Linked DNA regions of Stegostoma tigrinum. The protein of the gene in region 3 purifies or fractionates together with the protein of the main gene of each other region. This does not show direct contact. Links are inferred from orthologs where the notes say so. Each region holds a gene or a part of one and is shown on either strand. Other genes may lie near its edges.

Evidence for each region.
Region 1: the proteins of histone H2A.Z (region 3) and ruvbl2 purify together in Homo sapiens (affinity purification with mass spectrometry; 6 studies listed by BioGRID and IntAct, with this or other methods). This does not show direct contact. The link is inferred for Stegostoma tigrinum from reciprocal best matches to the Homo sapiens genes H2AZ1 and RUVBL2.
Region 2: the proteins of histone H2A.Z (region 3) and nap1l1 purify together in Homo sapiens (affinity purification with mass spectrometry; 3 studies listed by BioGRID and IntAct, with this or other methods). This does not show direct contact. The link is inferred for Stegostoma tigrinum from reciprocal best matches to the Homo sapiens genes H2AZ1 and NAP1L1.
Region 4: the proteins of histone H2A.Z (region 3) and vps72b purify together in Homo sapiens (affinity purification with mass spectrometry; 4 studies listed by BioGRID and IntAct, with this or other methods). This does not show direct contact. The link is inferred for Stegostoma tigrinum from reciprocal best matches to the Homo sapiens genes H2AZ1 and VPS72.

The regions. Positions count from the first base shown.
Region 1 is NC_081391.1:18,535,714-18,542,556, forward strand, and holds the start of ruvbl2 (ruvB-like 2), read left to right. Parts: upstream 1-3,830; 5' UTR 3,831-3,913; coding exon 3,914-3,922; intron 3,923-6,843. UniProt on the Homo sapiens protein: Possesses single-stranded DNA-stimulated ATPase and ATP-dependent DNA helicase (5' to 3') activity; hexamerization is thought to be critical for ATP hydrolysis and adjacent subunits in the ring-like structure contribute to the ATPase activity.
Region 2 is NC_081371.1:63,287,983-63,294,909, forward strand, and holds the start of nap1l1 (nucleosome assembly protein 1-like 1), read left to right. Parts: upstream 1-3,916; 5' UTR 3,917-4,016; exon of another isoform or gene 4,017-4,028; intron 4,029-6,927. UniProt on the Homo sapiens protein: Histone chaperone that plays a role in the nuclear import of H2A-H2B and nucleosome assembly.
Region 3 is NC_081354.1:4,079,872-4,087,678, forward strand, and holds histone H2A.Z, read left to right. Parts: upstream 1-4,801; 5' UTR 4,802-4,897; coding exon 4,898-4,900; intron 4,901-5,060; coding exon 5,061-5,138; intron 5,139-5,452; coding exon 5,453-5,566; intron 5,567-6,585; coding exon 6,586-6,715; intron 6,716-6,830; coding exon 6,831-6,892; 3' UTR 6,893-7,328; downstream 7,329-7,807. UniProt on the Homo sapiens protein: Variant histone H2A which replaces conventional H2A in a subset of nucleosomes. Nucleosomes wrap and compact DNA into chromatin, limiting DNA accessibility to the cellular machineries which require DNA as a template.
Region 4 is NC_081400.1:5,038,813-5,045,719, reverse strand, and holds the start of vps72b (vacuolar protein sorting-associated protein 72 homolog), read left to right. Parts: upstream 1-3,886; 5' UTR 3,887-3,941; coding exon 3,942-4,058; intron 4,059-6,907. UniProt on the Homo sapiens protein: Deposition-and-exchange histone chaperone specific for H2AZ1, specifically chaperones H2AZ1 and deposits it into nucleosomes.

The DNA.
Region 1 (6,843 bases), on a different chromosome or scaffold from region 3:
CGGTCTGACCACCAGCTGCTGCCGCGCTCCACACTGGGACTGGGCCATTGCCACCGGGCTCCACACTGGGACTGGGTCACTGCCACCGGGCTCCACACTGGGACTGGGTCACTGCCACCGGGCTCCACACTGGGACTGGGTCACTGCTACCGGGCTCCACACTGGGACTGGGTCACTGCCACCGGGCTCCACACTGGGACTGGGTCACTGCTACCTGGCTCCACACTGGGACTGGGTCACTGCCACCGGGCTCCACACTGGGACTGGGCCATTGCCACCGGGCTCCACACTGGGACTGGGTCACTGCCACCGGGCTCCACACTGGGACTGGGTCACTGCTACCTGGCTCCACACTGGGACTGGGTCACTGCCACCGGGCTCCACACTGGGACTGGGTCACTGCTACCTGTCTCCACACTGGGACTGGGTCACTGCCACCGGGCTCCACACTGGGACTGGGTCACTGCTACCTGGCTCCACACTGGGACTGGGTCACTGCTACCTGTCTCCACACTGGGACTGGGTCACTGCTACCTGGCTCCACACTGGGACTGGGTCACTGCCACCGGGCTCCACACTGGGACTGGGTCACTGCCACCGGGCTCCACACTGGGACTGGGTCACTGCCACCGAGCTCCACACTGGGACTGGGTCACTGCTACCGGGCTCCACACTGGGACTGGGTCACTGCTACCTGTCTCCACACTGGGACTGGGTCACTGCTACCTGGCTCCTCACTGGGACTGGGTCACTGCCACCGGGCTCCACACTGGGGCTGGGTCACTGCCACCGGGCTCCACACTGGGACTGGGTCACTGCTACCTGGCTCCACACTGGGACTGGGTCACTGCCACCGGGCTCCACACTGGGACTGGGTCACTGCCACCGGGCTCCACACTGGGACTGGGTCACTGCCACCGAGCTCCACACTGGGACTGGGTCACTGCTACCGGGCTCCACACTGGGACTGGGTCACTGCTACCTGTCTCCACACTGGGACTGGGTCACTGCTACCTGGCTCCTCACTGGGACTGGGTCACTGCCACCGGGCTCCACACTGGGGCTGGGTCACTGCCACCGGGCTCCACACTGGGACTGGGTCACTGCTATCGGGCTCCACACTGGGACTGGGTCACTACCGCCATGTGTCACACTGGGACTGGGACACTGCTACCGTGCTCTGCACTGGGACTGGGTCACTGTCATCACCCTCCTCACTGGGACTGGGTCACTGCCACCGCCCTCCTCACTGGGACTGGGTCACTGCCACCGCGCTCCACACTGGGACTAGGTCACAGCCACCGACCTCCACACTGGGACTGGGTCACTGCCACCGCGCTCCACACTGGGACTAGGTCACAGCCACCGACCTCCACACTGGGACTGGGTCACTGCCACCGCCCTCCACACTGGGACTGGGTCACTGCCACCGCCCTCCTCACTGGGACTGGGTCACTGCCACCGACCTCCACACTGGGACTGGGTCACTGCCACCGACCTCCACACTGGGACTGGGTCACTGCCACCGCCCTCCTCACTGGGACTGGGTCACTGCCACCGGGCTCCACACTGGGACTGGGTCACTGCCACCGCCCTCCTCACTGGGACTGGGTCACTGCCACCGCCCTCCGCACTGGGACTGGGTCACTGCCACCGCCCTCCGCACTGTGACTAGGTCACAGCCACCAGGTTCCACACTGGGACTGGGTCACTGCCACCGCCCTCCTCACTGGGACTGGGTCACTGCCACCGAGCTCCACACTGGGACTGGGTCACTGCCACCGCCCTCCTCACTGGGACTGGGTCACTGCCACCGAGCTCCACACTGGGACTGGGTCACTGCCACCGCCCTCCTCACTGGGACTGGGTCACTGCCACCGAGCTCCACACTGGGACTGGGTCACTGCCACCGGGCTCCACACTGGGACTGGGTCACTGTCATCACCCTCCACACTGGGACTGGGTCACTGTCATCACCCTCCACACTGGGACTGGGTCACTGCCACCGGGCTCCACACTGGGACTGGGTCACTGCTACCGCCCTCCTCACTGGGACTGGGTCACTGCCACCGAGCTCCACACTGGGACTGGGTCACTGTCATCACCCTCCACACTGGGACTGGGTCACTGTCATCACCCTCCACACTGGGACTGGGTCACTGCCACCGGGCTCCACACTGGGACTGGGTCACTGCCACCACGCTCCAACTGGAAATGGATCACTGTCATCACCCTCCACCCTGAGACTGGGTCACTGCCACCCCCCTCCGCACTGAGACTGGGTCACTGCCACCCCCCTCCGCACTGAGACTGGGTCACTGCCACCCCCCTCCTCACTGGGACTGGGTCACTGCCACCCCCCTCCTCACTGAGACTGGGTCACTGCCACCACCCCCCTCACTGGGACTGGGCCTCTGTCACCGCGCTCCGCACTGGGACTGGGTCCAGTGGCAATTGTCACTGGAGTCTTAGTCCAGAGACCCTGGTAAAATTCAAAGCTGGTTTTAAGGCTTCCTAAGGCAGATGATGGAATTTGAATTCAATAAATATCCAAAATCAGGAGTCTAAAGATGACCCTGAATCCATTGTTGATAGCCAGGAAAAACCCATCTGGTTCAGTAAAGTCCTTTAGGGGAGGAAACTGCCATCTTTACCTCGTCTGGCCTACGCGTGACTCAGACAACACAGTAATATGGTTGACTCTGGGCAATTAGGGATGGGCAATAAATGTTGACCTAGCCAGTGATTAATGCATTTCATGAATGAATAAAACAAAATCTTCTTCATGTGAAATTATCTTACAATTGAGCTCACAGTACCAAAACAGGCACTCAACATAACTGGCTCATGTCAGGGGTTCTGCTTCAGAAGAACCAACCTTATCAAAATGATATTATGCACTATAGAAATATATATTCCAAGACAGACATCGATATATTTTTACACCTTAAATTGGTTTGGGATTGGTAAGTGGAATTGCTGTCAATGGTGAAGTCAGCTCACTTATTCCTTTTTATTATGTTATTATAGGAAGTTGAACTATAGATCAGCCATTACTTCCATAAACTGTAGCCTCATTCTTTCTTAAACCCAAATGCCTCTCTTAGATATTACCAGTTAAGTCTACCATGCTACTGAAATATAATGAATCCCCAGGTGGCTTAGTAGCAAGCACTGCTTCCTCACAGTACCAGGCACTTAGATTCAAGTCTCAGGCAATTGTCTATGTGGAGTTTGCATGTCCTCCCTGCTTCTGCCTGGTGGTCTGGTTTCCTCCCACAGTTCAGAGGTGTGCTGGCTAGGTGAAATGGCCATGCAGGTTTATGGGGATAGGATGGGTGGGATGTTCTTCAAAGGATTGGTGCAGACTCAATGAGCCAAATGGCCTCTTTCTGCACTGTAGTGGGTCTATGAAAACCCAGCCATCAAATGTTTTGGAAATTAGGATAACTTATCTTGGTAATTCCCTTCAGCCTCACAAACCTCGAATTGAGTAACCCCCGTCTTTTATTTCTGGCCTCTTTTGATTCCCACCAACAATTGCTCCACTACTGGGAACTGTACATTCAGCTGCTAATGGATTCCAAAACTCTGGAAGTCTCTTACTGTCTCCATTATATCTGGCTTAATCACCTCCTTATGGATCTTAAAACCCACGATCAAGCTTTTATTCATAGTCAGACTTCATTCGATAATGATCCTGAAAAACGCTTTGGGAGGTTTCATTGCGTAATAGGCGCTAGAGTATGGTATGTACAAGCTGTTGTTGTTGATAGTGATGAACTTGGGTTTGGCGGAGGAAGGAAGGACTGGAGCGGAACCTAGTTTCGGCGCTTTTGTTTCCTCGTCGGAGCTGGGCGGGTGGTACAGCCGGAAGTGTTGTCGGTGGTTGGAAACCGGTGGCGGCAGCAGCATGGCAACGGTGAGCGGGGACCGGGGGACGGCGAGACAGATCCTCGGGGGAGAGCCCTCACCACCCCCCCGGGGTAGGGGAGAGCATTCCGTTGTTATCCAAGCGGGAGCGGGCCCCCGTTAGAACGGGCAGAGATTCCCGGCGGAGGGAGCTGCGCGGCTGCAGAATGTTCGAGATCCTGGTGCCCGGGCTCTTACCGTCCCCGTCCCCACCGGCCCCCAAATTCCCCTCACACTCCCCTCCCCCCCCCCCCACCGCGCACACTCCCATCCCTCCCCCCCCCGCACACACTCCCTCCCCCCCCCCGCACACACTCCCCCCCCGCACACACTCCCCCCCCCCCCACACACTCCCCCCCCCCCACACACTCCCCCCCCGCACACACTCCCCCCCCCCACACGCACACTCCCCCCCCCGCCACACGCACACTCCCCCGCCACACGCACACTCCCCCCCACACACTCCCCCCCCCCCCACACACTCCCCCCCCCCACACACTCCCCCCCCCACACACTCTCCCCCCCCACACACTCTCCCCCCCCCACACACTCTCCCCCCCCCACACACTCTCCCCCCCCACACACTCTTCCCCCCCCCACACACTCTTCCCCCCCCCACACACTCCCTCCCCCCCACACACTCCCCCCCCCCCACACATCCCTCCCCCCCCACACACTCCCTCCCCCCCCACACACTCCCTCCCCCCCCACACACTCCCCCCCACACCCTCCCCCCCCCCACACCCTCCCCCCCCCCCACACCCCTCTCCCCCCCCCCCACACCCTCCCCCCCCCACACCCTCCCCCCCCCACACACTCCCCCCCCCACACACTCTCCCCCCCCACACACTCTCCCCCCCCACACACTCTCCCCCCCCCACACACTCTCCCCCCCCCCACACACTCTCTCCCCCCCCACACACTCTCCCCCCCCACACACTCTTCTCCCCCCCCACACACTCCCTCCCCCCCCACACACTCCCCCCCCACACACTCCCTCCCCCCCCACACACTCCCCCCACACCCTCCCCCCCCCACACCCCCCCCCCACACGCATGCACTCTCTCCCGCCCCCTCCCTGCAGGCACACACTCCCCCCCCGCACGCACGCACACTCCCCCCCCCCCCCCCGCACGCACGCACTCTCCCCCCCCCACGCACGCACACCCCCCCCCACACACTTCCCCCCCCCACACACTTCCCCCCCCCGCACGCACCCCCCCCGCACGCACTCCCCCCCCCCCACGCACACCCCCCCCCCCACGCACCCCCCCCCCACGCACTCCCCCCCCCCCACGCACTCCCCCCCCACGCACTCCCCCCCCACGCACTCCCACCCCCACGCACTCCCCCCCCCACGCACTCCCCCCCCACGCACTCCCCCCCCCCACACGCTCCCCCCCCCACACACGCTCCCCCCCCCACACACTCCCCCCCCCCCACACTCCCCCCCCCCACACTCCCCCCCCCACACTCCCCCCCCCACACTCCCCCCCCCCCCCACACTCCCCCCCCCCCACACTCCCCCCCCCCCCACACTCCCCCCCCCCCCACACTCCCCCCCCACACTCCCTCCCCCCCCACACTCCCTCCCCCCCCCACACTCCCCCCCCCACACTCCCCCCCCCCACACTCCCCCCACACTCCCCCCCCCCCACACTCCCCCCACACACTCCCCCCCCCCACACACACTCCCCCCCCACACACACTCCCCCCCCCACACACACTCCCCCCCCACACACACTCCCCCCCCCACACACACTCCCCCCCCACACACACTCCCCCCCCCACACACACTCCCCCCCCCCCACACACTCCCCCCCCCCCCACACACTCCCCCCCCCCACACTCCCCCCCCCCACACACTCCCCCCCCCCACACACTCCCCCCCCCCCCCCCACACACTCCCCCCCCCCCACACACTCTCCCCCCCCCCCACACACTCCCCCCCCCCACACACTCCCCCCCCCCCACACACTCCCCCCCTCCCCCCCCCACACTTGTCTGCATTAAACTCCATTTGTCACCTCTCAGCCCAGCTCTGCAGCTTATCCATGTCTCTCTGCAACCTACAGCATCCTTCGTCACTATCCACAACTCCACCGACCTTAGTGTCGTCTGCAAAATTTACTAACCCATCCTTCTATGCCCTCATCCAGGTCATTTATAAATATGACAAACACCAGTAGACTCAACACCGACCCTTCCAGTACACCACTAGTAACTGCTCTCCAGGATGAACATTTCCCATCAACTACCACCCCTCTGTCTTCTTTCAGCCAGCCAATTTCCGATCAGGTTTTCTAAATTAAACTAGTCCCATTTACCTGCATTTGGTCTACATCCCTCTAAACATTTCTTATCCAAACACCTGTTCAAATGTCTTTAAAATGTTGTAATTGTACATACTTTTACCACTTCCTCTGGCAGCTTGTTCCATTTACACACCACCCTCTGTGTGAAAAAGTTGCCCCTCGAGTCCCTTTTAAATCGTTCCTCTCATATTAAATCTATGCCCTCTAGTTTTGGACTCCCCTACGCTGGGGAAACTTGAAAACTGCTCTTTAGTTAGTGCTTGGGGAGCTGAAGACATACCTAAACTAATACAGTAGGCAGAGAGGCTCTTAAAGAAGCAACTCATCTGCAAGGATAACAGCTAGACACGTGGATGTCGGCAAAGCTTCAGAGTTTATTCAACTGTTGTCCCTTAACAAAAATATAAAAATGAAGAGAATTGATCCTTAGTTCACTTTGCTCTGGCCATAGGCTACCAGGCAGAAATGAGTCTTTCCACTTTATCTGATCAGTACAATTCTGTATTCAAATATGCTTTGAAGTTAATTTGATCCAGCAGCAAAGAAGAAAGTTTCAGAGGAAAGAACCAGGAAGAGTGGGAAATGTTAAAACCTTTGGCCTTTCAGGATGCTGCAA
Region 2 (6,927 bases), on a different chromosome or scaffold from region 3:
TCGCACTATCCCACCTCTAGCAGGATTATCTATGCACTGGCACTAAAAACTCTCCTGGATGCACTTTAAAAATTCCACCTTGTCTAATCCACGAACATTAAGGTGAACAGAGTGGGGGTCTAGACAGAATTTGTGAGAGGGGCAGCTTAGGTGGTGTTTGGAGGGAGAACAGGTGATGGGGAGGGGCTAAGTGGGAGGGTGTTTTGTGGGGGAGAGGGGGCAAGTGTGGGAGAGGGGTTGAGTGTGGGAGAGGAGGCAGAGAGGGACTGAGGGGAGGGGGAGGAATTTGTGGAGGGGGGTAGGGTGGGGGGGAAGCGGGAGAGTGTGGCGGGGGAAGAAGTCGTGGGGAGTGAGGTAAGTGGGGGGGATGGGTTGGAGGAGGACAGAGTGAGGGAGGAGGTGGTGGTGACAGGGGTGGAACTGGGGTCAGAGTGGAGAGTGGGGAGGAGGGGTCAGCAGGGTGGGAGAGGGAGAGTGTGGGGGGGGACGGATTGGGGGGAAAGCAGGGGAGGGGAGTGGGTGAAGATGTGGGGGGATGAAGAGGGGGGAGAGCGGGGGGGGGCAGTGGGGGACAGCGGGGGGGGAAGCGGGTGGGATGAGGCGGGGGAGAACAGGGAAGAGGACAGCGGGTTGGGGGCGAAGCCGGGGACGAAGTCAGGCGAGAGCAAGGAAAGCAGAGAGAGATGGAGTGGGGGGAGAGCAAGGGAGGGGTGTAGGGGGATGCAGTGGGAGGGATGAAGTGGTGGGAGTGTGGGGAAAAGGAGTGGGAGGAGTGCCAGGGAGGGGTGTGGGGGGAATGGAGTGGGAGGGATGAAGTGGTGGGACCGTGGGGAAAGGGAGTGGGGGGAGTGCCAGGGAGGGGTGTAGGGGGGATGGAGTGGGTGAGGCAAGGTGGGACACGGTTTGTCAATCAGACGGAGAGTGAGCATAGAACATTACAGCACAGTACAGGCCCTTCGGCCCTCGATGTTGTGCCGACCTGTCATACCGATCTCAAGCCCATCTAACCAACACTATTCCATGTACGTCCATATGCTTATCCAATGACGACTTAAATGTACCTGAAGTTGGCGAATCTACTACCGTTGCAGGCAAAGCGTTCCATTCCCTTACTACTCTCTGAGTAAAGAAACTACCTCTGACATCTGTCCTATATCTTTCACCCCTCAATTTAAAGCTATGCCCCCTCGTGCTCGCCGTCACCATCCTAGGAAAAAGGCTCTCCCTCTCCACCCTATCTAACCCTCTGATTATTTTAAATGTTTCAATTAAGTCACCTCTCAACCTTCTTCTCTCTAATGAAAACAGCCTCAAGGCCCTCAGCCTTTCCTCGTAAGACCTTCCCTCCATACCAGGCAACATCCTAGTAAATCTCCTCTGCACCCTTTCCAAAGCTTCCACATCCTTCTTATAATGCGGTGACCAGAACTGTACACAATACTCCAAGTGCGGCCGCACCAGAGTTTTGTACAGCTTCACCATAACCTCTTGGTTCTGGAACTCGATTCTTCTATTAATAAAAGCTAAAACACTGTATGCCTTCTTAACAGCCCTGTCAACCTGGTTGGCAACTTTCAAGGATCTGTGTACATGGAAACCAAAATCTTGCTGCTTATCTACGCTACTAAGAATCTTACCATTAGCCCAGTACTTTGCCTTCCGGTTACTCCTCCCAAAGTGCATCACCTCATGTCTGCATTAAACTCCATTTGCCACCTCTCAACCCAGCTCTGCAGCTTATCTCTGTCCCTCTGCAACCTACAGCATCCTTCGTCACTATCCACAACTCCACCGAACTTAGTGTCGTCCGCAAATTTACTAACCCATCCTTCTACACCCTCTCTGAAGAAGGGTCCAGGCCCGAAACGTCAGCTTTTGTGTTCCTGAGATGCTGCTTGGCCTGCTGTGTTCATCCAGCTTCACACTTTATTATCTGGGATTCTCCAGCATCTGCAGTTCCCATTATCTCTTCTACGCCCTCATCCAGGTCATTTATAAAAATGACAAAGAGCAGTGGACCCAACACCGACCCTTGCGGTACACCACTAGTAACTGGTCTCCAGGATGAACATTTCCCATCAACTACCACCCTCTGTCTTTTTTCAGCAAGCCAATTTCCGATCCAAACTGCTATATCTCCCACAATTCCATTCCTCCGCATTTTGTACAGTAGCCTATTGTGGGGAACCTTATCGAACGCCTTGCTGAAATCCATATACACCACATCAACCGGTTTACTCTCATCTACCTGTTTGGTCACCTTCTCAAAGAACTCAATAAGGTTTGTGAGGCACGACCTACCCTTCACAAAACTGTGCTGACTATCCCTACTCAATTTATTCTTTTCTAGGTGATTATAAATCCTATCCCTTATAACCTTTTCCAACACTTTACCAACAACTGAGGTAAGGCTCACTGGTCTATAATTTACCAGGGTTGTCTCTACTCCCCTTCTTGAACAGGGGAACCACATTTGCTATCCTCCAGTCGTCTGGCACTATTCCTGTAGACAATGACAAGTTAAAGATCAATGCCAAAGGCTCGGCAATCTCCGCCTTGGCTTCCCAGAGGATCCTAAGATAAATCCCATCCGGCCCAGGGGACTTATCTATCTTCACCCTCTGAAGGATTTCTAATACCTCTTCCTTGTGAACCTCAATCCCACCTAGTCTCGTAGCCTGTATCTCAGTATTCTCCTCGACAACATTGTCATTTTCTAGAGTGAATACTGTTGAAAAATATTCATTTAGCGCTTCCCCTATCTCATCTGACTCCACACACAACTTACCACTACTATCCTTGATTGGGCCTAATCTTACTTTCGTCATTCTTTTATTCCTTTAATACCTATAGAAAGCCTTAGGGTTTACCCTGATCCTATCCGCCAACAACTTCTCATGTCTCCTCCTGGCTCTTCTGAGCTCTCTCTTCAGGTCTTTCCTGGCTACCTCGTAGCCCTCAAGTGCCCTAACTGAGCCTTCACATTTCATCCTAACATAAGCCTTCTTCTTCCTCTTGACCAGAGATTCCACCTCCTTCGTAAACCAATGCTCCCGCACTCTACAGCTTCCTCGCTGCCTGACAGGTACATACTTATCTAGGACACACAGGAGCTTTTCCTTGAATAAGCTCCACATTTCTAATGTGCCCATCCCCTGCAGTTTCCTTCCCCATCCTATGCTCCCTAAATCTTGCGTAATCTCATCGTAATTGCCTTTCCCCTAGCTATAACTCTTGCACAGTGGTATACACCTATCCCTTTCTATCACTAAAGTAAACATAACAGAATTGTGATCACCAAAGTGCTCACCTACTTCCAAATCTAACACCTGGCCAGGCACATTACCCAGTACCAAATCTAATGTGGCTTGGCCCCTTGTTGGCCTGTCTACATACTGTGCCAGGAAGCCCTCCTGCACACACTGGACAAAAACTGACCCATCTATAGTACTCGAACTATAGTGTTCCCAGTCAATATTTGGAAAGTTGAAGTCCCCCATGACAACTACCCTGTCACTCTCACTCCTATCGAGAATCATCTTTGCTATCCTTTCCTCTACATCTCTGGAACTATTCGGAGGCCTATAGAAAACTCCCAACTGGGTGACCTCTCCTTTCCTGTTTCTAACCTCAGCCCATACTACCTCAGTTGACGAGTCCCAAACATCTTTTCTGCGTCTGTAATACTGTCCTTGACCAACAATGCCACATCTCCGCCCCTTTTACCATCTTCTCTGTTCTTACTGAAACATCTAAATCCCGGAACCTGCAACAACCATTCCTGTTCCTGCTCTATCCATGTCTCCGAAATGGCCACAACATCGAAGTCCCACGACGTAACGGTGGCGGGAGGAGTTTGGGGGTGCGTGCACCGGCCGGCGTGGTTTGGGGGCGCGCACGTAGAAGGCGGTCCCCGGGGCGCGCCCCCGCAGGTTATATCCAACCAATCGGCGGCGCCGCTCGTTCTTTAGCGCCATCAGAGAGAGCGGGGCTGGAGCGCGCGGAGAAAGCGAGAGGTACGGAGCCAGGTAGAAACCTCGGGGGGGGGGGGGTAATAAATAAACAAGTGAATGCCGGGGGTAAATTGCGGGGACATGGTGTTCCGGGGGCGGGTAAAAACGGGGCTAAGCCACAGGGAGGTTCGGGCTCTCGGCCTCGGGCTGGAATACCGTGTCCGGCCCGGGCCCACCGCCTCCAGTTGCGTTTGTGTCGCGTGTGCGCTCCGGGGCCTGAGGGGGCCCTGTCGTCGTCCGCCCCGGCTCCGGCCTAAGAGAGGCCCCGGTTAGCGACTCCCGTTTCGGTCCACCCCGCCCGAACACGTGGCGGAGGCCGCTAGGAGGGTGGGCCCGGTCTTGGTGCCGCCGTATGGTCTGTGGCGCAGATGCTGTTCGGGTCCCGCCTGGGGTTTCCCCCTCCCCGGGGAGGGGGCTCCTGCGAGCTGGGTTCACTTTAAACCCCATTCCCACCCCGCGTGAGCTCGGAGAGACAAGGTCGGTTCAGAATAAATCCTTGGTCTGTGGCCCGAGACTACACGTTTCCTCTGGTGTTATAACACCGTTATATCTTAATATTCCACACCCTGTTGTAACCAGCTCTCGATGACTTTGATAATAAAACCTTTTCTGATTACAATGTGTACAGCTACATCTAATCTAGTTGAGTGTAGAAGCGTTGACTGTTAGCAAGGCCGAAATCATCTGATTTTCGTGATGAATGGAATGAAAGGCTTGTTTTTGCAAATGTACTTCTAAGAATGTTCTAGGAAGGACAGGTTTATCTGATTTATCAACCAATTATAAGATTGTGTGCAGCATAATTAGACGTTTTTACCAGACAAATGATTTATCCAACGTTTCTAGGAAAAAAATCAGTAATCCTTAATCAACTAGGGATATCCCAGTGAAAATGGATGCCTGTAGAAAGCTAAGTCTTTGCTTATTTGCTTGTGTCAGTTTAATGTACACCATTGAGTGCACAGCCTAAATCAAGGATGATACTGCAGTACTGAGTGTTTGACTGTCAGGCTATTCCATATAACTTTAATCAGTGGCATTTGTGCTTGTCTTGGTTTTTAAAACGTCAAAGTTTCTGTGACGTTATGGAACGGTACCTTGGTCAACCTATCTTGCATGATGTACACTGCCAAACAATAGCTAAGCAGTGGTCCATTTTATTAATGGACTCTTGCTGTGTGCAAAATGGCTGTGTTGGTAGTAGAGTGTCAGTTGGATATTAAAATGTGAGGCTGGATGAACACAGCAGGCCAAGCAGCATCTCAGGAGCACAAAAGCTGACGTTTCAGGCCTAGACCCTTCATCAGAGAGGGGGATGGGGAGAGGGAACTGGAATAAATAGGGAGAGAGGGGGAGGCGGACCGAAGATGGAGAGTAAAGAAGATAGGTGGAGAGAGTATAGGTGGGGAGGTAGGGAGGGGATAGGTCAGTCCAGGGAAGACGGACAGGTCAAGGAGGTGGGATGAGGTTAGTAGGTAGATGGGGGTGCGGCTTGGGGTGGGAGGAAGGGATGGGTGAGAGGAAGAACCGGTTAGGGAGGCAGAGACAGGTTGGACTGGTTTTGGGATGCAGTGGGTCGGGGGGGGAAGAGCTGGGCTGGTTGTGTGGTGCAGTGGGGGGAGGGGACGAACTGGGCTGGTTTAGGGATGCAGGGGGGGAAGGGGAGATTTTGAAACTGGTGAAGTCCACATTGATACCATATGGCTGCAGGGTTCCCAGGCGGAATGAGAGTTGCTGTTCCTGCAACCTTCGGGTGGCATCGTTGTGGCAGTGCAGGAGGCCCATGATGGACATGTCATCTAGAGAATGGGAGGGGGAGTGGAAATGGTTTGCGACTGGGAGGTGCAGTTGTTTGTTGCGAACTGAGCGGAGGTGTTCCGCAAAGTGGTTCCCAAGCCTCCGCTTGGTTTCCCCAATGTAGAGGAAGCCGCACCGGGTACAGTGGATGCAGTATACTACATTGGCAGATGTGCAGGTGAACCTCTGCTTCATGTGGAATGTCATCTTGGGGCCTGGGATAGGGGTGAGGGAGGAGGTGTGGGGACAAGTGTAGCATTTCCTGCGGGTGGTGGGGTTGGAGGGCAGTGTGGAGCGAACAAGGGAGTCACGGAGAGAGTGGTCTCTCCAGAAAGCAGACAGGGGTGGGGATGGAAAAATGTCTTGGGTGGTGGGGTCGGATTGTAAATGGCGAAAGTGTCGGAGGATGATGCGTTGTATCCGGAGGTTGGTAGGGTGGTGTGTGAGAACGAGAGGGATCCTCTTAGGGCGGTTGTGGCGGGGGCGGGGTGTGAGGGATGTGTTGCGGGAAATACGGGAGACGCGGTCAAGGGCGTCCCTGCAGCCATATGGTATCAATGTGGACTTCACCAGTTTCAAAATCTCCCCTTCCCCTACTGCATCCCTAAACCAGCCCAGTTCGTCCCCTCCCCCCACTGCACCACACAACCAGCCCAGCTCTTCCCCCCCACCCACTGCATCCCAAAACCAGTCCAACCTGTCTCTGCCTCCCTAACTGGTTCTTCCTCTCACCCATCCCTTTCTCCCACCCCAAGCCGCACCCCCATCTACCTACTAACCTCATCCCACCTCCTTGACCTGTCCGTCTTCCCTGGACTGACCTATCCCCTCCCTACCTCCCCACCTATACTCTCTCCACCTATCTTCTTTACTCTCCATCTTCGGTCCGCCTCCCCCTCTCTCCCTATTTATTCCAGTTCCCTCTCCCCATCCCCCTCTCTGATGAAGGATCTAGGCCCGAAACGTCAGCTTTTGTGCTCCTGAGATGCTGCTTGGCCTGCTGTGTTCATCTAGCCTCATATTTTATTATCTTGGAATTCTCCAGCATCTGCAGTTCCCATTATCTCTGTCAGTTGGATATGCCTTTTTTTCCCCTAAATGCTAGGATGGGATCTTA
Region 3 (7,807 bases):
TGAAAATGCTGAAGTGAATAAAAGGATGTTAAATTTCGTCATTAATTATATATTTTTGGGAAGTATATTTTGTAAATTATTTTGACAGATTTAACTGAAAGGAAATCACTGTTGGATCATTACATTAGACAGTTAAATATACTGTGTGTTTTCATGACTTTGGCTGATAATATAGTGAATGCATGCACCTAGAGTGTAGTATAAAGTGGCTACAATTTTCACAGTGTCTGAAATTGCATATTTGTGCAGCATGTGCTTGTTTAATTTCCCCAAGAACTACACACATGCAAACAATTCTCACCAACCCCTTGCTCACCAAGAATCTGCATACTTTTGCCTTAATAATTAACGATGGGGAAAGAGGGGGCAGTGACAGAGTATGATCTTGTACATCCTTCCAGTATATTTATGGCAGGTAGTAAAGGGAGCAGGAGAGTCACCTGGTACAGATACAGATCAATGCCCTTCAAGCTAGCAACTTATTCATGGAGAAATAAACTAGCCCTTGAAGTAGGTATAAGCACATGCTTTGTCTGTCTTGTGTGCAAAGAAGATAAAATACTATAACTGGTTCTCCAGTTGTATCAGACCAACTGAAAATTTCCAATATTTTCTGTTTTGTAAAACTTAAAGCTCCCAAAGTGGGTTCAATCTTCTTGTGTTCGTTATGCGGTGAATTTTAGGGCATAGTTGCAGATGTACAAACAGGCCTTCATGCTGATTTGTCTGCTGTGGCGTAGTGGGTAGCATTCTCATTCTGTGTTTCGAGGTTGTGGGTTTAAGTCCCACACAAATGACTTGAATACAAAACTCCCGGTTGACACTCCATTGCAGTGCTGTGGTCATGCAGCATTGTCAGAGTCATTACTGAGGTGGTAACGCTGCTGCATCATTGCAGATGTCATCTTTCACATTAAATGTTTAAACCAAGTCCTGATCTGCCAGAATAAAAACCGAAAGAACTGCAGATGCCACCCTCTCGGATTGATGTGCGACTTTAACAGAAATCCCACTGAAGAAAATATTACCCGGTTGCAGCCTCATTTATTGTGTCTGGGATCTGTCTGTGCACAAAACGGCTGCCATGTTTGCTGTGTTCCAAAGGTGAATACTGATGAAAACACTTGGAAAAGTATTTTGCAGCTGTAAGGTGTTCTGATATTCTGAATTTGTGAAAGGCACTCTGAAATTGCAAGTCTGTTTTTCCAGTAACTGAGACAGGTTTAAAAATGCAGAAATCTTTCAACGCGTAATTTTCACAATCAATTTAAATTCATTTAATCATTATTTTTATGTTCTAATGATTGATTTCTCAATTTCTGACACTGATCAGTCTGTCAATTGTTCTCTTAAGATCCTAATGAAATATTTTGTAAAAATTTAATACAGTTTTTAATGCATTTTTATTCCCAATGTTCATTTGTCACCACAATTCTAACCAGCTTGGCTTTTCCCATTCCTACAGCTATTTATGCTTACACTCAACAGAAATAGTTTTCCATCCCGTGTAATATTTAAATCATTCAAAGGTATTTTCCAGAAGATATCAAAACTTAACATATAAAAACTTATCACGGGGCAAACGCGATAGGCAAATAAAATGCAACCAAAACCCCTGCAAATGATAAAAATGTGTCAAAACACAGAAAACTCTGGATGAACAGGCTAGTAAGCCTCTGTGCAAAGAAAACAGGTAATGTATTAATAAGGGGACTGTCCGATAATAGTGACACATCAATTCTACCAGTAATTAAGTTAACCTGAATAAGTCAGTGAATTTTGTACGGTGTGCAGAATTCAGTACATACTGGAATTTGTTGGTCAATTTTACAGGGATTGGTACTGGGTCCACTTTTGTTTGTCATTTATGCAAATAATTTTAGATAAGGATTTGGAAGGCACGGTTAGTAAGTTCACAGATGACACCAAAATTAGTGATATGACGGACAGTGAAGGTGGTTATTTAAGATTACAAAGAGATCTTGATCAATTAGGTCAATGGGTTGAGGTGTGACAGATGGAGTTTAATTTGGATAAATGCAAGGTATTGCATCTCGGTAAAACAAACAAGGGCTGGGACTTATTCAGCTAATGGTGGGGCCCTGGGTAGTGTTGCAGAACAGAGAGGTCTAGAGGTTCAAATACAGAACTCTTTGAAGTTTGCGTCACATGTAGATTACAGCTAATACAGTGAAAAGTTTCAACAGTTGCTTCAATCTGGTGACATTTTCAATCGTTTAAAAATAAAAAGGATGAAAAATATAACTGGAAGACAGTCATGCGTCACCATCCCTCCTCTGCTGCCATGTGTGTCAGACCCATCGATGTGGGAGTTGCCACTCTAAGTGCCATCTCTTTGGTGCTAGAACAACCTTGCCAGGCCACGTGCTGAATCCATACACGCACCCAGAACCAGGCTGGCTCTGCTGCTGTCTCAATGATGCCAGGAGTCCCAGCCTGAGGCATACCACACTGCTGCCGCTGCAGCCACCATCTTGCAAATGCCAAGAGTCCCTGCTCTGGGTATACTGCAACACGGAGACCCTGGCTCCACTCCTAGGCCATGGCCACCGTCTCACAAAGGGTCTGGCTCTGGCTGTCCTCCTGCAAGATATCACCTCGCTGGCACCATCACCTTAAAATCTGCTGCCACTGCTGCTTCCATTTGCTGGAGGAGCTTTGCTGCCACCGCCAGCCCTAAATACGGGAGGACGTCCCTGTTGCCACTGCAGCCACGGCCTCCAGTTGCTGTGAAGAACTGTGCCCACTGGCAGGAGCCACCACCAAACCACTGTCAAAGCTGCCACACTGATCTCGCTGACTAATCTGCTGCAAAAGGGCTCCAAAGAAAAATGAAAGTAAAAGAGCAGCAGTAAAAAGAAATAAAAGATGGAAAGCAGGCTGGAGCGGATCAACCCCGGGCAAGATCCCGCACACTGCCCTGCCACTCTGCTGTTATCTTCAATCTGTTGGACGTCATGTTGAGGTTGTACAGGACATTTGTAAGGTCTCATCTGGAGTACATGTTCTGGTCCAGTCGTCCTTCTACAAGAAGAACATTATCAAGCTGGACAGGATTCAGGAAAGATTTACCAGGATGTTGCAGACACAATAAATGGAGAGTTTTAGTTATAAGGAGAGGCTGGATAGACTGGGACTATTTTCCTTGGAGCATAGAAGGTTGACAGGTGACCTTGTAGAGGTTTATAAAATCATGAGGGCTATAGATAAAGGCGAATGGTAGGTGTCTTTTCCCCAGGGTGGGGGATTTCAAGACTAAGGAGCATATTTTTAAGCTAAGAGGATAAAGATTTAAAGACATGAGGGGCAACTTGCTTACACAGAAGTGGTTTGTATGTGGAATGAACTGCCAGAGGAAGGGGTGCATGCGGGTAAAATTACAATGTTCAAAAAACATTTTGATAAGTACACGAATAAGAAATGTTTGGAGGGATATGGGCCAAGCGCAGGCAGATGCGACTATTTTAGTTTAGGGTTATGGTCAGCATAGACTGGTTGGACCAAAGGGTCTATTCATATGACTGTGTGACCCTATTACTGGATGTATGTATCACACGTCGATGAGCACTACCCTGAATGATGGAAAGAACATGAAGTTCAAGCTGGAGCAAGGCATCTGTCTTCTAGATGAAAGGGGATGTAAAAGGTCTCATGGCACTATTTTGAAGAACAGGGGAGCTCTTCTCAATGTCTTGGGTCCAACATTTATCCCTTAATCAATATCACGAAAAGCACTCTCTGCTCCATTTACTGTGCTGTGGGAGCTTTACACTGTGTGCAGATTGTTTACCTTTTGTACTCTGACTGCATCTGCATTTCCAAAGCACTTTCTTGGCTCTTGAAGAGCTCCAAAGCACCAACAGTTGTGAAAGTTGCTGTTAAGAGTGCAAGTTATTTCATATATACACAAAATCTATCTTTGTGCATGTTTTGAGTTCTAGCTATGCGTCGACATTGAAATCATAGGTTTTCCCCCAATTTTGACATGTCTTGAAGATAGAATTTTGTTGCAAGCAATTTTTCAGCAAACTGTCTGGTGGCATTGTATGGTAGAAATAGAAACACTGTTGAAGAAACTTGGTACTGAGTCAGTTATGATTCTTCTTCAAAGAGTCACATCATTGTGGAATCATAACAGACCCGAAACTGTTTCTTTTGTGATAAGGTGCAGAGCTGGATGAACACAGCAAGCCAAGCAGCATCAGAGGAGCTGGAAGGCTGACATTTCGGGCCCAGGCCCTTCTTCAAAAGGTTTCTGCTGTGTTCTCTGAGATTAGAATAGGGCTAACCTTTCAAATCCGATAGCTTCAAAGATGAGTCAATATCGGACGCTAACGGTTGACTCTGTGTTTCTTTCTCTCCGCACAAATGCTGCCAAACACACGTGAGTTACTCCAGCGCTTTGCTATTCATATTTTCCTTTTGGCAGTTTATCAGCGGCTAAAACTTTTTTAAAAAGGTGTATTTTCTTCTGGGGAAGGGTCTCCGGACTGGAAATGTTAACTTTGCACTCATGCTGAGTTGCTCCGGCACTTTGTATCTTTTGTTTCACATGTGCAACAGCCACAGTTCATTGAGAAGCGCAATGTCTAAAATGCAACTCGGACAAAGTGCCCCGCGGCACCACGTGCACCGGGAAGGCGAGCACGGCGCGCGCGCACACCAACCTCCTGGGCCCTCACTGGCGGCGCGTACGTACGCGGATGGGTGCGCGCGCACGTACGTACGTACCTCCCGCCCTCCAACCCTCCGATTGGCCGCCGCTCGGTAGCCCGGAGCCCGGATGTGGGCAGGGGCCCGGCTATAAATAGGAGCGGCGCCGGGGCGGGAGCGCAGAGCGGTTTGAAAATCCGGGGCCGGAGGATACGAGGCGGTGATGGTGAGGAGGCAAACAAAATGTTGTCTAATTTTAATTTGTGAAAATAAGCGACAGATCCGCGGTCGCAGACAGGGGTTTGGGGGGGGGGAAAAAAACATCTCGACCACAGGACGCAAACCGGTTTTATTTTTTTTTACCTCTTGTTGCTATTCTCTGATAGGCTGGCGGTAAAGCGGGTAAAGACTCCGGCAAGGCGAAGACCAAAGCGGTTTCCCGCTCACAACGAGCAGGCCTCCAGGTCAGTGCGGTTTCCCCGCGTCCATTACCGCCGCCTCCCTCCCACTGACTGACTGCAGTAGGGTCCAGCCTCGCACGGGCGGCGCGAGAGGAGGGAGTGCGGGCGGGCGCTTCTCTCAATGTTTTAGAACACGCCCCTCCCCCTTCTCCCTCCGGGAACCGGCTGCGGCCGGAAATGTCTTCCCTTCCCTCCCCTCCCCCCCCCCCCCCCCCCAACATATAAATATAGCGTTTCACGTCGCGGACGTTTGCTTTTTGTTTTCTGCCGGCCGTCTTTTCGTTTCCCCCCCCTTCTAAATCTATTTATTTTTACAGTTCCCAGTCGGTCGCATCCACCGACACCTGAAGTCCAGGACCACCAGCCACGGGCGGGTGGGCGCCACGGCAGCGGTTTATAGCGCGGCCATTCTGGAGTATCTGACGGCCGAGGTGAGTGTGTGGGGGGTGGGGAGCGCGTTACAGGCCGCGGCTCCATGACCAGCAGGTCCGTCACCGGATATGTTCCGTGTTGCCGGCTGGTAGGGTTCGAGGCGACTGTGTTCCGGCTTTATTTGGAGTCGGCCTTGCCGAATGGTCGGAGTGAAAGGTTCCGGTCTTATTACTTCCCTTATCGGGGGAAGGGTCATCGGACCTGAAACATTAACTCTGATTTCTCTTAAAGGTTGCTGCCAGACTTGCTGAGCTTTTCTCAGCAGTTTGTTTTTGTTTGATTTACAGCGTCCGCAATTTTTGGTCATGATTTCCTTCACTGTTCAGGTTTAATAATTAAATCTTCAGTCGTGTCTACTTGGGATCCTTCTGCAATCTCCTGTTCAGTCGAGCTGCATGTGGTTGCTTTGATTTTTGGAAATGGTTTCCCTACCCCTGACAAGTGATATTTGATATTGTATTTGATAATAGTTGAACTGCATTTCAAACCTTGGATTGTTACTCCCTTTTTAAAATTCATGATTCTTGTGTTGAAGTTCCCCCCCACCCTTGGTCTCTAATGCCTAACAACAACTAGTCTGTTTTAAGTTTTCAAGATAAAATGTGGGGCTGGATGAACACAGCAGGCCAAGCAGCATCTCAGGAGCACAAAAGCTCCTGAGATGCTGCTTGGTCTGCTGTGTTCATCCAGCCCCACATTTTATTATCTTGGATTCTCCAGCATCTGCAGTTCCTATTATCTGTTTTAAGTTTTCACTTGACTTTCCCTCAGAGGGGGGAACATTGAGGACTCCAAAGCATTAACTGATTTCTTTCTTTCCTGATGTTGCCATGCAGGCAAGTTTCTCCACAATTTTATTATTTTTATCTCCCTACACTTACAATACAAAGCATAACATTCACAATATCCTTCACTTGATTGCAGTAAATTTATATTAATACTTGATCTCTGGACTCAATTTTTAAAATTTGTTTGTTAAACAGCAGTGCTGTTTTTAATACCTTACCTGTTTTGTCAGGTACTAGAGCTTGCAGGAAATGCATCCAAAGACTTGAAGGTAAAACGCATTACCCCTCGCCACTTGCAACTTGCCATTCGTGGGGATGAAGAGTTGGATTCCTTAATCAAGGCTACCATTGCTGGTGGTGGTGAGTTAACATTTTAATTCAATAAACACTCAACTGTTAGAATTTTCTCTTCCCACAAAATATTGTTCTTCTGTGCTGTGGTGTCTTCCCTGCTGATTTATCTTTTTGTTTTCAGGAGTCATTCCTCACATTCACAAATCCCTGATTGGCAAAAAAGGACAACAGAAGACTGTTTGATGGTGGAAACTTCCTTTTTGGTTCACTAGTCTCAGGACTCCATCTCCAAATAATCAGCTGTAGAATGTTGGAGGATCTGACTGGAAAGACACTGGACTTCTGAAATGTGATTACATAGACATTTTTATCTCAATAGTATTCAGGGGAGGGGTCTTTTAAAAAGTAAAGCTCAATAATCAAACTTCCATGTGCACTAGTCTGGGAAAGCCAAATCTGGGACCATATCCTCCAAGGTGGGACTGTACCTGGGTGACCTGGAGTTGTTTCCTGGTTACTGCCTTTTCATAGCATCTCTGTTGCAGTATTTTAAATGCAGGAAGAGCTCACTGCTTGTATGACTTTTATTTTTGAAGTGGATTTAAATCCAGATGGTTTGTTCTGACTGTTTGTTCTGTCTATTGGTGTATGAAGTTTTCAATAAAATGTATTAAATGGCTGTGTGACTTGTCTTTTTAATTTGGGAATGCAAAGATCCCTAGCTAACCATTGAAGATAGTTTGTCCAGCATTAAAAAGCTCTGTCTAATGGCATTGATCACGTAACAGCTGCCAAGTGTTTCTTAATATACCACTGCATTTTGCAATTTCCTTGGTGTGAAACTTTTTGAAAGGTTTAATTCTGATGCTTTGACCTGTTTCTTTGCCTTTTTTCCAATAAACTGCAACAATATATGGTCCCCATCAAACAGCTTGTGCTATTTTGCTGCAAACAAATCCTGGCCAAAGATCTCATCCTGTTATACTTATTAGCAAGGCTATAACAGGATAATTTGCTTTGTACAGTGAGGTCAGTATTTAACTCGGTCACTGAACTGTAGAAATTCAAGTGTGGGTGCATTTATTCATGGGAATAACTTTAATAAGCTGAAATGTGGCTGGATTAAGATGTAAACAAAGTTTGTCATCAAGCTTTTAC
Region 4 (6,907 bases), on a different chromosome or scaffold from region 3:
AGGGTCAGCGCCGAGGGAGCGGGCGCTGTCAGAGGGTCAGTGCTGAGGGAGCGGGCGCAGTCGGAGGGTCAGCGCCGAGGGAGCGGGCACCGTCGGAAGGTCAGCGCCGAGGGAGCGGGCACCGTCAGAGGGTCAGCGCCAAGGGAGCGGGCGCTGTCAGAGGGTCAGTGCTGAAGGAGCGGGCGCTGTCAGAGGGTCAGTGCCGAGGGAGTGGGCGCTGTCAGAGGGTCAGTGCCGAGGGAGCGGGCGCTGTCGGAGGGTCAGTGCAGAGGGAGCGGGCACTGTTGGAGGGTCAGTGTTGAGGGAGCGGGCGCTGTCGGAGGGTCAGTGCTGAGGGAGCGGGCACTGTCGGAGGGTCAGTGCTGAGGGAGGGGGCGCTGTCGGAGGGTCAGTGCTGAGGGAGCGGGCGCTGTCGGAGGGTCAGTGCTGAGGGAGCGGGCGCTGTCGGAGGGTGAGTGTTGAAGGGGTTGGGTAGCGTTGTGCTTTCCCCTGGTTGTAAATGTGTGTGAGGGTCACCAATGGTGTTGTTGTTGCGGGGGGGGGGGTTGGGTGGTGAAGAAAATTTGTTCGCTCTCCCATCACGGGATGAGGGTGATGCTCGCACGGCAGCATTTATTGCCCCATCCCTAATTGCCCGGTGGCCTGGGGGGGGGGGGTGCAATTAACCATCAACCACATTGCTATGGGTCTGGAATCACACATTTGGGCCAGACCAGGTCAGGATGGTCGCTTCCTTCCCGAAAGGACATGAAGGAACCAGTTGGGTTTTTCCAACAAGGGATTCATCATTATAACACACAACAGCACAGGCCCTTCGGCCCACAAGGCTGTGCTGTATTTTTACCCTGTCCCAAAGGTGTATCTCACCTCCACCCCTACCTTGTGCTTTCGTCAGTTAGATTCTGAATTCCAAATATTTTATTGGATTCAAATTCCACCATCTGCCGTGGGCGGTCTTCGAATCCAGGTCCCCGGAACGTCTCCCGGATCCACAGTCCCGCGATAATCCCGCATGCACGCTTGGAGACTGGATTATTTCTCTGAACAATGTCGTGGGTATGGGGGAGGGCTCTGATCAATCGATAACTGGTTTATCGGAGATAACTGATCCTGACGACCGAGGTCAGAAGTCATCAATCCACCTGATCAGTGCAATCTGATGGTGAAACCCTGTAAAACCATAAAACAGTTTGCACAAAGGCAGGGCTCACCAACAACAGGTTTGCAAACCTCCTACCACTGTAGAAGGAGGACAGATGTTGAACTGACCTCTCCCTGTTGTTTTTGAAGTGTGCCATGAGTCCTGTGGCTCTCGGGTCAAAGACCGTTGATGTCTCTCACTGCCGCCCGACCTCCTGCGGTTCCCCAGCGTCTGCGTGTTGACTCGGAGCAGGCCATTTGGCCCCCTCGAGCCCCAGCGGTTTGAGGCGATCGTCACTGCGGCGAATTCCATGATCCCTCCGACTCCTGGCCTGAGAGGAAATCCCGTCCCCGTGAGGTCCAAAGCCTCCGACAGAAGCGGATGCCCTCGTCTCCGCCCCGTCATGTCGCCGTGGCCCCCTCGCTCAGGACCGACCCACAATCGGAAAAGTCCAGTCCACGTCCAGAGGGGGAGAGGTGGGATGCTGGTTGCAGAGTCGGTGCGGACTGGATGGGCCGAATAGCCTTCCGCGGTGATTGTCTGAGCAAACATTCTGCCTAATCACAATAGCCATATTTCACACGGCCTTTCGACTGAACAATAAATAGTTACACTGAGGTAAATTAGAAAGAACATAAGAATCTGAAAAAAATACCGTGCAACTTCACAGAGACACGGGGAGAATGTGCAAACTCCACACAGACAGTCGCCCAAGGGTGGGATCAAACCCAGGTCCTTGGCGCAGTGAGGCTGTTGCGCTAACCACTGAGCCACTCCAGCACAGGGTAATAAAAAGATAACTGTGCCATTAACTGCTACTTTGGCTCCTTCTTGCTTTCTGCGGCAGGGAATTCCACAGCCCCCTGCTCTCACGTATTCGCCTCAGGGAAAGATGCTGCAAATCAGAAGCAATCATGGAAATCACTGGCAAAAATCAGCTGGTCTGGCAGTATCTGTGGATGGGTTAATGTTTCGCGCCTCTTGGGAAATTCGAAAGACGGGCCACTGGACCCAAACATGCCAACTCTGCTTTCTCTCGTAGAAAGCATCTGGTCCAATGCATCACAGCTTCGGATAGTAACTGCTCTGCCCAAGGTCATAACAGACAGACATACACACAGACAGACACACAGAGGCAGACACACAGCAACAGACATACAGAGACACACACAGACATACACACAGCGACAGACATACAGAGACACACACACATACAGACACACAGAGACATACACACAACGACAGGCATACAAAGACACACACAGCGACAGGCATACAGAGACACACACAGACATACAGACAGCGACAGACATACAGAGACACACACAGACATACACACAGCGACAGACATACAGAGACACACACAGCGACAGACATACAGAGACACACAGAGACATACACACAGCGACAGGCATACAGAGACACACACAGACATACACACAGCGACAGACATACAGACACACAGAGACATACACACAACGACAGGCATACAAAGACACACACAGCGACAGGCATACAGAGACACACACAGACATACAGACAGCGACAGACATACAGAGACACACACAGACATACACACAGTGACAGGCATACAGAGACACACACAGACATACACACAGAGACAGACACACAGAAACAGACATACTGAGACACACACAGACATACACACAGTGACAGACATACAGAGACACACAGAGACATACACACAGAGACAGACACACAGAAACAGACATACTGAGACACACACAGGCATATACACAGAAACAGACATACTGAGACACCAAGACATACAGAGACACATACACAGATGTACAGAGGCACAGAAACAGATGGAGACAGATATAGACACCACACCGACATTTACACAGACTTACAGAATAATGGACACATACAGAGACACACAGAGACAGGCAGCGATGGACTATAGTATGTGAGAGGTTCATAAATCTGATATCAGCAGGGAAGAAGCAGCTCTTGAATCTGTTGGTATATCTTTTCAAACTTTTGTATCTTCTTTCGGCAGTAGAGGATGGGAGGGAATATAACTGGGTGGGAGGGGGTCTTTGATGATGTTAGGTGCTTTCCCAAGGGCAGTGGGAAGTGTAGACTGAGTCAACAGATGGGAGGCTGGTTTGTGTGATGGGCTGGGCCACTGTCTGTAATTTCTCGTGATCTTGGGAAGAGCAGTTTACAGACAGGATGCTTTCTATGGTGCATCTGTAAAAATTGGTGAGTGCCCTTGTGGATATGTTAGTCTGTCTTCATTTAACCCTTTCGGACAATGCGGCATTACTGGTATCTCTTTTGTCACTTACTACCCCTTGAGCTGGATGCCTGGCACACACAGTTTCAGGGGAGGTGACCCCACCGTTGCCAATGGGTCTGGAGTCACGTGTAAGACTTGGTCTGGTTTGGGAGGGGGACGGTGGAAGAATTAATTACCCATTTACGAACATGATTGCGCAGTATGTACGTGGGGATGAGTGCTGGGGGTGATGCCTCATCCAGTCGAATAGCCAACCGAGGGTTGTACAGGTTTGAGTGCGGACAACTGGATTCTTTCACAAAAAGCAACTCAGGACCTGAGGAAGGATTTTCTTAAATAAAATTAAAATCACCCCTCATTGATTCATCCCAAACCCCTCACTGAAATAAGTAGCCAATAGGGAAGTGGTGTTTCTCGATCGACGTTCTCCGGGATCGATCGTCACGTCCTGGAGGACCAGTGGGAGGAAGACGCGCAGGCGCGACCGAGCGCACTCCGAGCGGCTCGAACGGAGAAGCAGGAGACGGCGGCGCCATGAGCCTGGCGGAGAACCGGCCGTCGAGGAAAAATGCCGGTAACCGCATGTCGCGGCTGCTGGAGGCCGAGGAGGACGATGACTTCTACATGACGACCTACGGGGGTTTCCATGAGGTGAAGGAGAAAGAGGGACTTTAAAAGAAGAGGGAGAGCTCGCCCAAGGTGGCGGGAGGCCGCCGCCATCTTGGAAGGGACAAGCGGGCGCAACCGAGCTTGCTGTCTGGGGGGCGGGGCCACTTCGGGAAACGCCTCCCATCTCAGCCGCCATTGGGCTTAGTTCCTATCGGTTACTATGTCTTGTGTCATCATTGGCTGCCGCCGCTGTCAATCAGCGCTGTGCCACTTACCTGCACTGGGGAGATTTTTTCAGATGCTTCAAATAGACCTTTCGGCCCAACCAGTCCATGCTGACCCGCCTATCCTAAAGTAATCTAGTCCGAAATAGAGCCATACAGTCAGGAAACAGACCCTTTGGCATAACCAGCCCATGCTGATCCCCTATCGTGAATTAACCTAGTCCCATAAAGTGTCATACAGCGTGGAACTAGCCCCTTCAGCCCAACCAGTCCATGCTGACCTCCTATCCTAAATTAATCTCGTCACATGTGGGGTTTCAAAGCGTGGAAACAGACACTTCAGCCCATCTTGTCCGTACTGACCTGCTTTGCTAAATTAATCTAGTCCCGTTCTCTCAAAGTAAGCTTGCAGGTTGAGTCAGTAGTAAGCAAGGCTAATGCAATGTTGGCATTTATTTTCAGAGAACTTGAATTTAAAAGCAGGGATGTACTACTGAGGCTTTATAAGGCTGTGGTCAGGCTACATTTGGAGTATTGTGTGCAGTTTTGGGCCCAATATCTCGGGGAAGATGTACTGGCCCTGGAGTGGGTTGAGAGGAGGGTCAGAAGAATGGTCCCAGGAATGAAAAGCTTAACATATAAGGAACATTTGAGGACTCTGGGACAATACCCGTTGGAGTTTAGGAGGATGAGGGGGTTCTAATTGAACCTTATATAATAATGAATGGCCTGGACAGAGTGGATGTTGTGTAGATGTTTTCATTTGTAGGAGAGACTAGGACCTGAGGGCACAGCCTTAGAGTAAAGGGAAGACCTGTCAGAACGGAGATAAGAGAGAAGCTTCTTCAGCCAGAGAGTGGTGAATCTATGGAATTCACTGCCACAGAAGGCTGTGGAGGCCAAGCCATTGAGCACATTTAATACTGAGATAGATAGGTTCTTGATTATCAAGGGTTACGGGGAGAATGTTGTTGAAGAACTTATCAGCCACGATTGAATGGCGGAGTGGACTTGATGAGCCGAATGGCCCAATTTCTGCTCCTGTCTTATGGTCATATACGATCATACAGTCAGGAAACAGATCCTTCGGCCCAACCAGTCCATGCTGACCGGATATCCTAAATGAATCTAGTCCCATCTGCCAACATTTGGCCCGTATCCTCCTAAACCTTCCCAATTCATGTACCCCTCCAGATGCCAGGGAGTGTGTTAGAAGCAGCAATACGATGATCCAAACCCTAGAAAATTAAACGGTGTGATTGTAATCTAATCCCTAGTCTTGCACATTTTCCAAATCAATGCAGTTTTTGATCCTGGATGGATTTTAATGAAAGTTGACATTAATAACAGGGGGATTGAGTTTAAGAGTCGTGAGATCTTGTTGCAGCTCTATAAAACTTTGGTTGGACCGCACTTGGAGTGCTGCGTCCGGTTCTGGGCGCCCTATTGTAGGAGGGATGTGGATGCTTTGGGGAGGGTTCAGAGGAGGTTTACCAGGATGCTGCCTGGACTGGAGGGCTTATCTTATGAAGAGAGGTTGACTGAGCTCGGTCTCTTTTCATTGGAGAAAAGGAGGAGGAGAGGGAACCTAATTGAGGTATACAAGATAGTGAGAGGCATAGATAGAGTTGATAGCCAGAGACTATTTCCCAGGGCAGAAATGGCTAGCACGAGGGGTCATAGTTTTAGGCTGGTTGGTGGAAAGTATAGAGGGGATGTCAGAGGCAGGTTCTTTACGCAGAGAGTTGTGAGAGCATGGAATGCGTTGCCAGCAGCAGTTGTGGAAGCAAGGTCATTGGGGTCATTTAAGAGACTGCTGGACATGTATATGGTCACAGAAATTTGAGGGTGCATACATGAGGATCAATGGTCGGCACAACATTGTGGGCTGAAGGGCCTGTTCTGTGCTGTACTGTTCTATGTTCTATGTTCTAAGATACTGGAAACCCAAAACAAAAGCTGAAGTTTGCTGTAGAAACCCAGCAAGTCTGGTGGAAGGAGAGAGAACAGAGGTAACGTTTCGAGTTTTACTAGAGATTTGCCGGGATGTTGCTTGGAATGAAGGGTTTAAGTTATGGCGAGAGGCTGGGACCTTTTTTCCTCTGGAGTGTAGGAGGTTGTGGGCTGACCTTACAGAGGTTTATAAAATCATGAGAGGCACGGACAGGGTGAAAAGTTTTTCCCTAGACTGGGGGAATTTCAAAACCAGGCAGAATTTTTTAAGGTGAGAGGAGAAAGATTGAAAACAAGACATGAGGGGCAATTTTTTTTACACAGAGAGTGGTTTGTATGTAGAATGAACTTCCAGAGGATGCGGAGTGCAGCCACAGTTACAACGTTTAAAAGACATTTGGGTAAGTACAGGAATAGGAACGGTTTGGAGAGACATGAGCCAAACACAGGCACGTGAGACTAGTTTAGCTTGGGGGAAACCTGGTCAGTGTGGATTAGTTGGGCTGAAGAGTCTGCTTCTGTGTTGTTTGACTCTAATTATATCTAACTCCTTCTTGGAGACATTTAATGGTGAGGTGTCTTCTGGAGCACTGTGTCTAGTTCTGGTTGCCCTGCAAAACGAATGATATTAATTTGAGAGGGTTCAGAAAATATTTATGAGAACCTGGAGTGAACTGCCCGGGGAAATGGTTAATGCAGGTACCGTTAAGAATA